Linked DNA regions of Coturnix japonica. The protein of the gene in region 3 purifies or fractionates together with the protein of the main gene of each other region. This does not show direct contact. Links are inferred from orthologs where the notes say so. Each region holds a gene or a part of one and is shown on either strand. Other genes may lie near its edges.

What was found. The genes of interacting proteins can lie anywhere in the genome.
Region 1: the proteins of PRKCZ (region 3) and NIPSNAP2 purify together in Homo sapiens (affinity purification with mass spectrometry; 3 studies listed by BioGRID and IntAct, counting the BioPlex papers as one, with this or other methods). This does not show direct contact. The link is inferred for Coturnix japonica from reciprocal best matches to the Homo sapiens genes PRKCZ and NIPSNAP2.
Region 2: the proteins of PRKCZ (region 3) and PARD6G purify together in Homo sapiens (affinity purification with mass spectrometry; 6 studies listed by BioGRID and IntAct, counting the BioPlex papers as one, with this or other methods). This does not show direct contact. The link is inferred for Coturnix japonica from reciprocal best matches to the Homo sapiens genes PRKCZ and PARD6G.

The regions. Positions count from the first base shown.
Region 1 is NC_029534.1:3,695,146-3,699,174, reverse strand, and holds the start of NIPSNAP2 (protein NipSnap homolog 2), read right to left. Parts: upstream 2,804-4,029; 5' UTR 2,700-2,803; coding exon 2,614-2,699; intron 830-2,613; exon of another isoform or gene 793-829; intron 104-792; coding exon 1-103. UniProt on the Homo sapiens protein: Protein involved in mitophagy by facilitating recruitment of the autophagy machinery required for clearance of damaged mitochondria.
Region 2 is NC_029517.1:80,911,818-80,915,800, forward strand, and holds the start of PARD6G (partitioning defective 6 homolog gamma), read right to left. Parts: upstream 2,804-3,983; 5' UTR 2,760-2,803; coding exon 2,688-2,759; intron 1-2,687. UniProt on the Homo sapiens protein: Adapter protein involved in asymmetrical cell division and cell polarization processes. May play a role in the formation of epithelial tight junctions. The PARD6-PARD3 complex links GTP-bound Rho small GTPases to atypical protein kinase C proteins.
Region 3 is NC_029536.1:1,535,548-1,539,060, forward strand, and holds part of PRKCZ (protein kinase C zeta type), read right to left. Parts: intron 2,676-3,513; coding exon 2,578-2,675; intron 2,057-2,577; coding exon 1,970-2,056; intron 1,527-1,969; coding exon 1,391-1,526; intron 1,028-1,390; coding exon 940-1,027; intron 409-939; coding exon 289-408; intron 1-288. UniProt on the Homo sapiens protein: Calcium- and diacylglycerol-independent serine/threonine-protein kinase that functions in phosphatidylinositol 3-kinase (PI3K) pathway and mitogen-activated protein (MAP) kinase cascade, and is involved in NF-kappa-B activation, mitogenic signaling, cell proliferation, cell polarity, inflammatory response and maintenance of long-term potentiation (LTP).

The DNA of each region.
Region 1 (4,029 bases), on a different chromosome or scaffold from region 3:
TAGAAGGTTGGAGTGAGCATCTTTCCTTGGATCGACTTTGCGAACAAATAGCGATTTTAACCAACTGTCTTCACGAGGTCTGCTAGCTGAAGATACCATCCCCCTACATATTAACAAGTACATTACACTGTCACTGAGCACGTCTTGAAAATGCCCACAACGCAGGGAAGACGGGCACAATCAAGTATAATACAAACAAAATTATAACAGTTACACCCAGCTCTGTCCCTCAGTCTTTCCACTGAGCCACTTGGCAGCAAGGTAAAGGCAGCTCTTTTCACACTGGGATTTACCTCCTCACAAACCATTTTATGTGATACAGAGCTGAACACTTAACCACGCTCTCTCTGCTCTCATTCTTTGTAAGCAATGCAAGAAATGGGTAGGTGGCTGCTTTTGTTGTCTTTTTATATTCTTTTTAATTAAGTGTATTTGCCCAAGGTCTGTCTTGATGTATACAGACGGGAATGAAAAAGAGCAAGAAGTGGCATAAGGAAAGATTTGTACAGTGTAAATAAGTGCCATATGTTCCTATGTATGCTTAAATACAGCCCTGGAAAGGAAAAGTTAAGTGACACATCTATGGTATTTAACTGAATCTTTATGCCCCAAGCTTGAATGCTTTTTCTTCTTACTCAAAGGAAGCACTTCCTTCAGTCCACCCCTTTATGATATAGAGTTTCTGCTGAAATATTAAACTATTTATCTGAAGTACTAAGGAACCAGCAGCCCAGGTGGAAATTTAAACCATTTTCTATCTCAGAAGTCAACTTAATACCCTGCACCACTGACTATGAGATCCAGATGCCAGGTTTCGATCTTCAGATACAAAGCTTTCTTCCAGTATCAAAACTTTCTGACAATTCCTCAAAGGAAAAGAAAAAAATAGAAGAAAATATCAACTTCTTTTGGTGGAAAAAAAAATAAATCTCAAAGAACACAATTGTCTGTATTACACAGAAGGAATTCGCACCAGCAGCACTCCTCAACAATCAACATCTGAAAACCTAATGAACTGGGATACCCTGTGGAAGCAGAACAGATGAACTGAGAAGTATTTCAGAGCAAAGAAATAGTAAGAACCAAAACAACCACAGCCAAGACAAATTTTGATGCTAAGAAGTAATTGGTATTTTGTCTTATTTATTGAACACAGGGGTCTATTCAGCCCTAAACAAACATACAAGCACATTCCTGTCCAGTCAATACAGCTGTTGCCAGAAGAGGGTGGTACAGGAGGAGAGGTTTGATCTCAACTGAGGGAGGAGAGAGGCACAGGTGACAACACACCTACTAGACACAGAACTGGGCTCCAGGAGGTACGACTCCATTTCAGCCCTGCAGTGCCTGTTCTATCATCCTGTACACTACTGGTATATTCTCCCATTCAGAACGCTCTTCTATGAGGAATAAAACAAGTATTACAGATGATTATGCAATCATTTACTCAGGAACTATAAAGTTCCGTATCAACAAGGACTAATATACCACAACTAGCCATCTAAATGTTTACTTTACTTACAATAAAGTATGGTAACTGCTGAAGTTGATTAAAACAGCATCTCAGACGAGACACACTGAGTGTCTACAGCCTTAATTTTCACCACCATATCCCTTGAGATACACTACTGGTGTCCATCTGGACACCCACAAACCAAAATGCACTAAGCTGACTGCCAGCTCACCTGCCTGGGCCACCTGTGCCCATAGTCACCTCAAGAAGAGCCAGAATGCTCAGAATGAATATGTACACACTATAGGGAATGTACACACTATAGGGAATTACCATCACGGCTCACAACTTCTTATTTTCTAGGAATGATGCTTATTAAAGAGTTTTCATGCAACCTTTTAAGGCACTGCTTAACTTTGCTAGCCAATGCTTGTCCTGCAAATGTTATCTAAAGGCTCAGATTTCTTGCTACAAAGATTGGGCTGAGACCATAAGAGGAGAACAATGAATAACTTGGTCATATTAAATTAACAATGCTGCTGAGGACATTTCCATCTGCCTTTTGCGTTAGCATACAATATAAAGTGGGTAGAGTGGGAGGTATCAGGTGAAATATATAGATTCAGTAGTAATCAATGTCTGCCTGCAAGAGAAAGAAAAACAACTTGTCTGTAACAGGCACTTTTTAATTTGCTAAACAGACGTCAAAGCTGATTCGGAACTCAATAAGTACAACACTGTGTGCACCTGCTTCAACAAGCTGCTGGCAGCGTTAACCCCACGGGCATTGCTGCCCATTGTAACCCCGAGGATGTGTGGAGGACACACAGAGGTGCTGCCCATTCTAACCCCGAGGGCCCGACGCGGCGCTGGCCGCGCTCCTGACGCGATCCCCACCCCTGGGCGGACTCGGGGGAGGGGTCCGGCCTCGCTGCCCGTGACCTTGAGGGACGCCCCATGGCCGCACTCCCCGCCCTACATGAGGCGGCGGGCCCGGCTGCGGCCCTTCAGCGACAGAGGGGCGCCATTTCCAGACGGGAGAGGGGAGGCCGAGCGTGTGTGGCAGTGGGATCCGAGCGGGCGGCGGCTGCTCCCTCCCCCGCCTCCCCCTTCTCCCTGGGCCGCCCTCTCCCGCCCGCCTCGCCCCCCTCAATGCTCACCTGAGGGTCAGGCCGCCGCCTGACGGGAGACGCGGCCCCGCGCCCGCTCCCGCCGGGCTCCACCTCAGCAGCACACGCGCCGCCATCTTGGCTCCGGCCGCCTCCCTCCTGGGCCGGCTCTGGGGCTGGTAACGCTGTAGCGCCGCCGCCGGCAGAGGGGGCAAAAATGGCGGCGGGGTGAGGGGGGTCCTCCAGCCACGCCTCGGTGGCAGCAGCAGTGCGCATGCGCGGAAGGCCCGAGCCTGGAGCCCGCCTCCCGCTGGGGGGTCGGGGTCCCACGAAACAGCGAGTCGGGCCGAACGGTTCCGTTCCTGTGCTGGGGATGGAGATGCACGATGTATATTCACCTGACTAAGAGCCCACATTCCTTCCACTCAGCTGCAGGTCTTAATCAGCCAGCTGTAATTAATGACCTACATCAACCACCTCAACACACAGATCAACAACAGAACTACAGCCCCGGATTAAAGATGCCTTCCCAAAGTCACAGAATCACAGAATGCCCCGGGTTGGAAGGGACCTCAAGGATCATGTAGTTCCAACCCCCTGCCTGGCAGGGCCACCAAACATACACCTTTACTAGATCAGGTTGCCCATGGCCCCGTCCAACCTGGCCTTGAACACCTCCAAGGACGGGGCATCCACAACCTCCCTGTGCAGCCTGTTCCAGGGCCTCACCACTCTCCTAGTGAAGAACTTCCCCCTGACATCCAACCTAAATCTTCCCTCTTTCAACTTAAAACCATTTCCCCGTGTCCTGCTATTGTCAGCCCTTTCCAAGAGTTTACTCCCCCTCCTGGGAGTAAGTTCCCTTCAGGTATTGAAAGGCTGCAATGAGTCAGACCATATTCTTATAAACTTCCATCTTCCCATCAAGAGATCCATCTCTCTCAGATCTAAATGCTCTTTGGACAGGCTACAAGCAGCAATGCTAAGCTACCCAAACATTCTCACTTTACTGCCATAATAAAGGCAAGTGGTTGTAATTCCATCAGATCTTAGAAGTTAACACAGTGGTGGCAGGAGGAACTCACAGAGAAACTGAGCACACATGCAGGTAAGCTCCTTGTAAAGCTCCTAAACTTCATTTCAAAAGGTTTAATAGCATTTTAAAGCCTACAAATCACAAAAGATGGCCTGAAATACAGAACAATTAAAATAGAATGACTCTCCTACCACATATGGTAGTAATTTCATCTCTCGGTATAACAAGAGTCATTTCAAGTGAGCAGCTGGCTTTGGAAAGTGTCAAGGCTTTGGGCAGAACTACATGCAACAAAACAAAGCGTTAACATTTAACTCACATTTTCCATAGTTTCATCTGAGGCACCAAGTTTTTCCCATCTGGAACATCCTGTTCTTAGAAGCAACTACATTTGCTACTTATATTTTGACTACAGGTTTCACCAAAACATT
Region 2 (3,983 bases), on a different chromosome or scaffold from region 3:
TGGATGGAATTTCAAGCAGATCAGGAATTCCTAAGTCCCTAGGATAAAAGTGACCACAAAAGCAGGGGTGAGAACCTGGAGGTGGATTGAAGCACAGGAGAGTATGGGAAATACCATAACACAAGGCAGCAGGACAGTTCTCTTCAACGTTTCGAAGCTCAAAACCAGCAGTTCAAACACCTGGTCATAGGATTTTTCGCAGCACTTGTTTTCATTGCATTCTAGGTACGATAAATACGAACCTAACTTGGAAGAAACTAAAGTACTACTTAAAAACACAAACCTTTTTAAACATACAGGGTTTTCGGCTGAACACCAACATTCACTGGAACAAAGCAGAAATTAGGTGGGAGAAGAGAGCAAAGGAAATACAGTTATGGTTAACTAGTATGTTTATCTTAACGGGCTTGTTTACAGTAGGAGGATGTTAGTCACGTTGTTCATTTGTCTATCAGTTTGTAGTACAAGAAAACACGACACTATTAACATGGCAGCAGTGTCAAGGACTAGCACCAAGCATCCAAACCAGCACCTGAGTCAGGCAGCTGTACTTCCATAGTCCTCAACTACTGATCAGAGTTCTCAACAGCAGCTAAACAAGATGGCTTTTGTAAAGGATTATTTCTTTTCTGGCATCTAAGAGTGTGTTTTAAAACCTGAAAAAGAATTCTTATCAGTATATACAACTTAGAGAAAATAAAGCAATTTTTCAATTGGAGGAGGGTGAAAGAAGATGGACTACACAGAGCTGTAATTAAAGAGGAAGTCTCAGTATTAATGCAGGAATTCCTATTTTATAAGTCCTGGTTCTTCTATAGGTTTACATTCACAAAGAGAGGGGCCTTCAACCTCTCAGTAAAGCTAGAGAAAAACGAAGACTAGAAGAATAGGTTTGTGATCTAGTGCCAACAGGAAGGATTCTTAATAAAACAAGAATCCCCACGCGTTGTTTGCTCTGGAAATCTTGGTAAATGGGAGAGAAAGAGTCATCTGGAAACCTTTTTTTAGAGATTAGAGGTGATTTCTTCAAAGGGAGCAGCCACACCACTTGTCACCAGACTGGGCAAGTATGAGACATAGGAGAATACACGGCTCTTTCAGGCCTGCAAGATAAAGTGGCTTCAGATCCTGTCTAAAAAGGCTGAAACATTTATTTTGAGCGACAGGGACAACACCTAGATAACAACTGAGCTTCTAATTTACACTGTTGAGAAACACTCGAGAAGAGAAAAGGGAGAAGACATAATTACAATTCAATTATTATTTTCCTTTGACATGTGCCAATTTCTAAGCAGGTTTCTCCTTCCTCTCCCACCCAGCAATAAGCTTGCAAGTGCTTTGATTATAAGGCCGGCTTCAGGGGCGGAGATGGGGGCAGGACAGGCCTGAAGGAAGACGGCTCCCTAAAGCACAAGACTCTGCAATTGCAATTACAGTTACTGCCATGTTTGAGAGCAGACACATGCACAGGGCTCATATTCCCTCCTCCCCTTCGGGACCTACTGCAACTCAGTGACCAGGAGACTTCTAAAGCACCTTCCATCTGCCCAGAGAAAAAAAGCTGGCCTGATGCACAGCGGAAGCCATTTCCACATGGCGGCCTAACGCATTACACACTTAGCTGGGTGTAGGCAGGAAATCACCTGGCTATCACACCATAGGCTAAATAAATAAATAAATAGAATTTTAAAAGTCAAGCTTGCAGCCTGTACGACTCCCCACAGCTCCTCCAGGTCTGACTCAACCCACAAGGAAAGGAATGCCCCGCTCCAAGGCAGTGCTTCCACTGGGCCCCTCCACCACAAAGCCCACCCCAGCCCTATGAAGCCCCCCAGCTGGTGGCTGCAACATGGTGCCCAGCAGCACCCAGCCAAGGCCCGACAGGCACCAACCAACAGTACGCAGACTCAACTTTCTGGTTTTCTGGCAGGCTGGGGCAGGCCTCGTGCTTGCAAAACAGAGGCAAGTAAGTACGTAGGTGCTCCCAACAGCAGTTGGAGTCTAGTCCTGCACAGCCCCTCATGTAGCAGCACCGACCAGAGCTTCTTGCTGGCTCTATCCCTACCACAGGACAGTGCTGTAAGAGGGACCCCATGGGCTCTATGCACAGCAGGAGTGAGCACCAAGTAGCTCCTTCTCACTGCCCACACAGTGTGTGCTCACAGCCCCCTAACGCCCTGCACCTACACAGGGCAGGGTGCAGGACCCTATGGACCGCTGCAGCTGTAAACAAGGCTCCGAGCCTTTATTATAGGACTCTTTTAAAGCTGTTATTAAGGCAATGGATACGTTAAGTTGAAGGAAGAGTGCACACATCCATTCTTACCAACAGCCAGTACTCCAGACCGGAGCTTATGTGTTTCGAGCACCACTCAGCACTCACAGAACAGGACCACAACTCGCCATGAGCGCAGGGGCCGCATCCCAACCCGGGAGCAGCTCAAGCCCGGCTGTGGGAGCAGGACGGACATCAGTAACCCCGCATCATTTATTTCAGTGGCACTGAGGAGCCGAGGAGCCCGTGCAGCTCCCCGCGCTGCCCCGCCGAGAGAGCGGCCGGCGGCGAAACAAAAGATCGAGCGGCGGCCACGGGCACGGGGCCCCTCGCGCCCGCCCGCACCGCCGGGAACGGAGCCCTCGAGTACCCGCCCTCAGCACCCCGGGCCGTACGGCGAGGCCGCGCTCACCTTACTCTTCACTTCCACCGCGCTGCATTCCAGATACCGCAGAGTCTGAGATTTGTTGAAGCTCCGGTTCATCTTCCGCGCCGCTGCCGCCCCCCCCGTCTTCTCCTCCTCCTCCTCCTCCCCCCGCCGCCCCGCGGCGCCCAACTCCGCTCCGCTCCACGCCGCTACGGACACTTTGTCCCGGCGCGCCAATGAGAGCGGCCGCAACACCGCGATCGCGATCCGGCTGCCGACAGCAGCGCGGCCCCGTCCGCGGCGGGGGGACGGGAGGACACGCCCACTAACCGCGTGGCCGCGCCCACTCGGCGCTGTGTGCCCGCCCTCATGGTGTAGGGTGGCGGGCAGCGGCTGTTTGATCCCATTGGGACCTACTGCAGTGATAGCATTGAGCTTAGTTTGGCACTAATAGTTCCCCTGTCCTATCACTCTGTGTGCCCCGGTGGCGCAGTGGTAGGAATGCTGCTTTGCAACACCGCAGGCCCTGAGTTCGAATCCCCCTTTGGCGCAAGTGGTAGAAGTGCCGCTCTGCTACACAGAGGCTCGAATCCCGGGGGTTGGACTCGATGATCTCTAGGGTCCCTTCCAACCCGCACGAGACTGTGATACTATGATCACTGTCCTAACACTGCTGAAGAATCCGTCCCCTTCTTTCTCACTGCTTCCCCCTTCTGATAGTAAAAGGCCACTCTCGGGTCTCACCTGATTCGTTGCCACAGACCATTGGGATTAACACAACCTTCAAGTTGCTATAGCTCAAATAGCACGGCAGAGTTTCCCTGAATATTGTATGATTTATGGCTTGATAGTAAGATTATAGATTGACTTACAATAAAGAGGGAAGGGAAAAGGGAAGGGAAAAGGGAGGGAAGGGGAGGGAGGGAAGGGAGGGAGGGAGGAAAGGAAGGAAGGAAAGGGGAGGGAAGGAGAGGAGAAGGAAAGGAAAGGGGAAGGGAAGGGGAGGGAAGGGGAGGGAGGGAGGGGAGGGAAGGGAAAAGGGAGGAAGGGAGCGAAGGGAGGGAGGGAGGAAAGGAAGGAAAGGGGAGGGAAGGAGAGGAGAGGAGAAGGAAAGGAGAGGAGAAGGAAAGGAAAGGAGAAGGGAAGGGAAGGGAAGGGAAGGGAAGGGAAGGGAAGGGAAGGGAAGGGAAGGGAAGGGAAGGAAGAAGCTGAAATGTGGGTTTTGGTCAGTTTCTCATCTAAATACTCAAGAGGTTTTCAGCCTGATGTGGGATGCAGCAAACTGGAACGAACAACCTGAGGCCATTCCTTCTCATGCTATCACTATTACCAGGGATAAGA
Region 3 (3,513 bases):
GTGAACCTGTCATTTATAGCATAAATAGGGAATAGTCAGATTTCTATCTGTTTTTTGACATGCTTTTATCATCTGTAGAAAGGTTCCTAATTCCAGGCTATTTCATCACAGTTCAATAAAATAAATACCTAGGATGAAACCTTAAAAATACTTCATATATTATAGACCTGCTAGCAACTGTGAGATAATACAAGGAAAGGAAAAGAGAAGGTAATTCTAAGTATCCTACTGCAATTCTTAATTTTCATCATTCCTCCCCCCAAGAGAAATCATAGAAAAAAACAATACCTTGGAAGAGGTAATCTTCAGTGTTCATGTCTGGATTGTCAGTAATGATATCAAATGGAGACCTTCCTGCCATCATTTCAAACATCAATACACCAAGAGCCCACCAGTCCACGCTGAACCCTGTCAATATTTACACAGCAGATTTTCAGCTGCTCCTCAAATGTCAGAGTTCTCATCATGTGAGGATTAATGCCCTGGTCCTACACAATCAGTATTGCTGGATAGAACTTGACAGGAATTTGGGCCACATAGGAAACCTGTACAGATTCTGTAGGTACCCATACACAACCCAACCTACTGATCAGATCAGTTTATAACCACAACACTAATTAAGATTACAGTTCTGACTTCTGCATAAACAATGAACTTAGTCACAGCATTCCATAACCTTGCCTGGGGAACAATAGCAGTTGGGATGTCAAGTACATCAAGGGTTGGGGCTTGATTTTGATACAGCAACACTGCATTGCTCAGGGAAAGTAGGATTTAAAACTAGCCAAAATGAATGACTTCTAAAATCAAAAGGCTGGGTTTGTTTTACATATAGGTGGAAAAAAAAGAAATTCAGTAACAACAGTATTTGAACAAAGCTACAACTCTAACTTGGTTTTGCGCTCAGTTATAACATCAATCTGTTCAGTCTCAGCTTACCATATTCTTCTCCTCTTAGGATTTCTGGTGCAATGTAATTCGGTGTTCCACAGAAAGTGCTCGTAGTGTCACCAGGGCCCAATCCTTCCTACATACATAAAACAGTTTAAAACATTTTAGTAGTTTACTTCTACTTTTGAGATAGAAAACTGAACAGAAGAAACAAACTCAGTCAAGGTCAATTTCTTTCCTGCAAAGCGATCAGCATAAGAAACACGAAGGATGAAGTTACAAATCTGGTCCTATGCTTCAGTTAATTTGCAGCATTAAGTTGCTATTCCACAACCAAATTCTGGGCTCAATAACACTGGTGTTAAGCAAAGGGTAACTTCTGTCACTTTTCCCTTGCTATCACTAGGTATGGTGCTGGGCTTAAAAGCTTGACCAGAGAAATACACTACAGAGAGACCAAAAAAGAGAAGGGAAAAATAGAAAGGAAAGGAAATTCTACCTTGCACATGCCATAGTCTGTTAATTTGATATGACCCTCTGCATCTAGAAGAACATTGTCTAGTTTTAAATCTCTGTAGATTATGCCTCTTTCGTGTAGGAAGTTCAGAGCAATACAAATTTCAGCAGCATAAAACCTGAAAATAAAAGAGGAATATCTTAAAGATGGTACAAAACCAGTTTGTCTCTGTGACAGAATACTGAAAAGTAGCTCCATTTGTTCACAAAGGTATTGAACTTACATTGTAAAGCCATTCCTTTAAGAACAGCAAATGTAATTTTGAATTCTATTCATCATCTATCAGCATATCAAAGAAACGTTAACTGAACATGGAGTGGTAAATAAAAATACACAGGAATAGTTTGCCAATTCTCAGTTGTTAGCTTGTTTTTTAAACTATCACATATACTTCTAAAAACAGTTAACGTTTCTTACCATGGAACAACATTCTAATCCTCAAAAATAACCTTCTGTTTCCTCTTGGCTATTCATATTCTCTTAGAGAATAAGCTTCCAAAAGCATCTCATACAACATGACATAACAGAAGGAAAACCACAACAGCTGGATTAGTGAAATACCTAGCATGCTCCTCTGGCAGTTTTCTCTGTCTCTGCATGTGAAACATCAGATCTCCTCCATTTACATACTCTATGACAAGAAATAATCTGAAAGTATATAATAGAATTAATGGCTTCCAAGCAAATTCTCAGTAGGAAGAAAACTTTCTATTCTTCCAATCTGAGCCATTTTCACTTCCACTCTTGAATCTGACTTTCGTGTTTCTTATGGTTACCACAACTACTTAAGATTAGGAAAGAGGACAAAAGAATCCTTATTTGACCCGTATTAGGCAGGAGCACATTCTTTATTTAAAAGCAAATAAAAATGAAGAAGCCAGACTAAACAGGAAGAAGCCATTTCATTCAAATATCCACTATGTGCTGTGAAATGTGTAGCACTATCAAAAACAGTACAAAATACAGCAGTGCTTGATTAATATAACGGGCAGGAAATCCCTGCATTTTGCTCCACACTGCACTAAGTTACACCCTCTGAACTGGCGTTGGTGGAGCAATGGAACCCTTCCAAAGCTTTCTGACTGCCACAACAGTGTAATATTCCCTTTACGAGAAGCAGTCAGTACAAGGATCACTGTTTTCAAAACAAGATTTCAGATCTTTCTTACCGACTTGTTGTTTGAAAGCAGGAATGTAAACCAACTAGGAATGGGTTGCTGGATGCCTGTTCAAACACATGTTTCTCTGTCTGTACCCAATCAATATCCTGAAATAGAATAATTGAACAATCAGAACTTCTACCCAATAACCACCACAAACATTCCCAGAAAATATATTGTTTACATCTAAGCTCCCTTGTATACAGTGTTCTCACATATGTCCTTAAGAAATCTGGAGGAAAACATAAAACACTTCAGCTCAATTATTCAGTGTGTTTAAATAACTGAGCTTCGTTTGCTTATCTGATACTTGAAGTTAACTAATGAAGTTACCAAAATGTGATGAGTTTGTCCAACCAAAATCATCCTTAGTTGTATCACAAACTGCCTTTAATACTTCAACAGAAGTTCTGACTACACACTGCAACACAATATAAGAATGTAACAAACTCTGACTGATTCTAGTGAAATATTGCTTTATTATGGATCTGAGTTTTGCATTTCATCAATTTTCTTATAAGAAATTAAAACCTTATGGACAACTGGTTCTAGCAGTAGATACAAGACATTATACAGATCACACTGCACTCTGAACATTCAGTAACTTGCCAACAAACAAGGAATGTAAGTAGTAGAAATAGAGAATTATTAACAGACACTTCCAGCTCTCCAACCAATTTGGAGACAACAAAGACAGATGCTGAGACATTCAATGAATGATTTCACCTTTACAAGATCCCAAACTGAACTCACCACATTTGTACACACATAGTACACTAATACTGTGTTAGTTTACCAACGTTAACAGGATAAGTCTAGAAAAATTCACGTTCTTCCAGTATCTTCTGGTTTCACAGTTCATACACCTATTCAGACGTGCTGCCACTCCTGCACATCATGTCACACTGCAGTGTGCCACCAAAGCTGGCAGCCTGACAACGTATG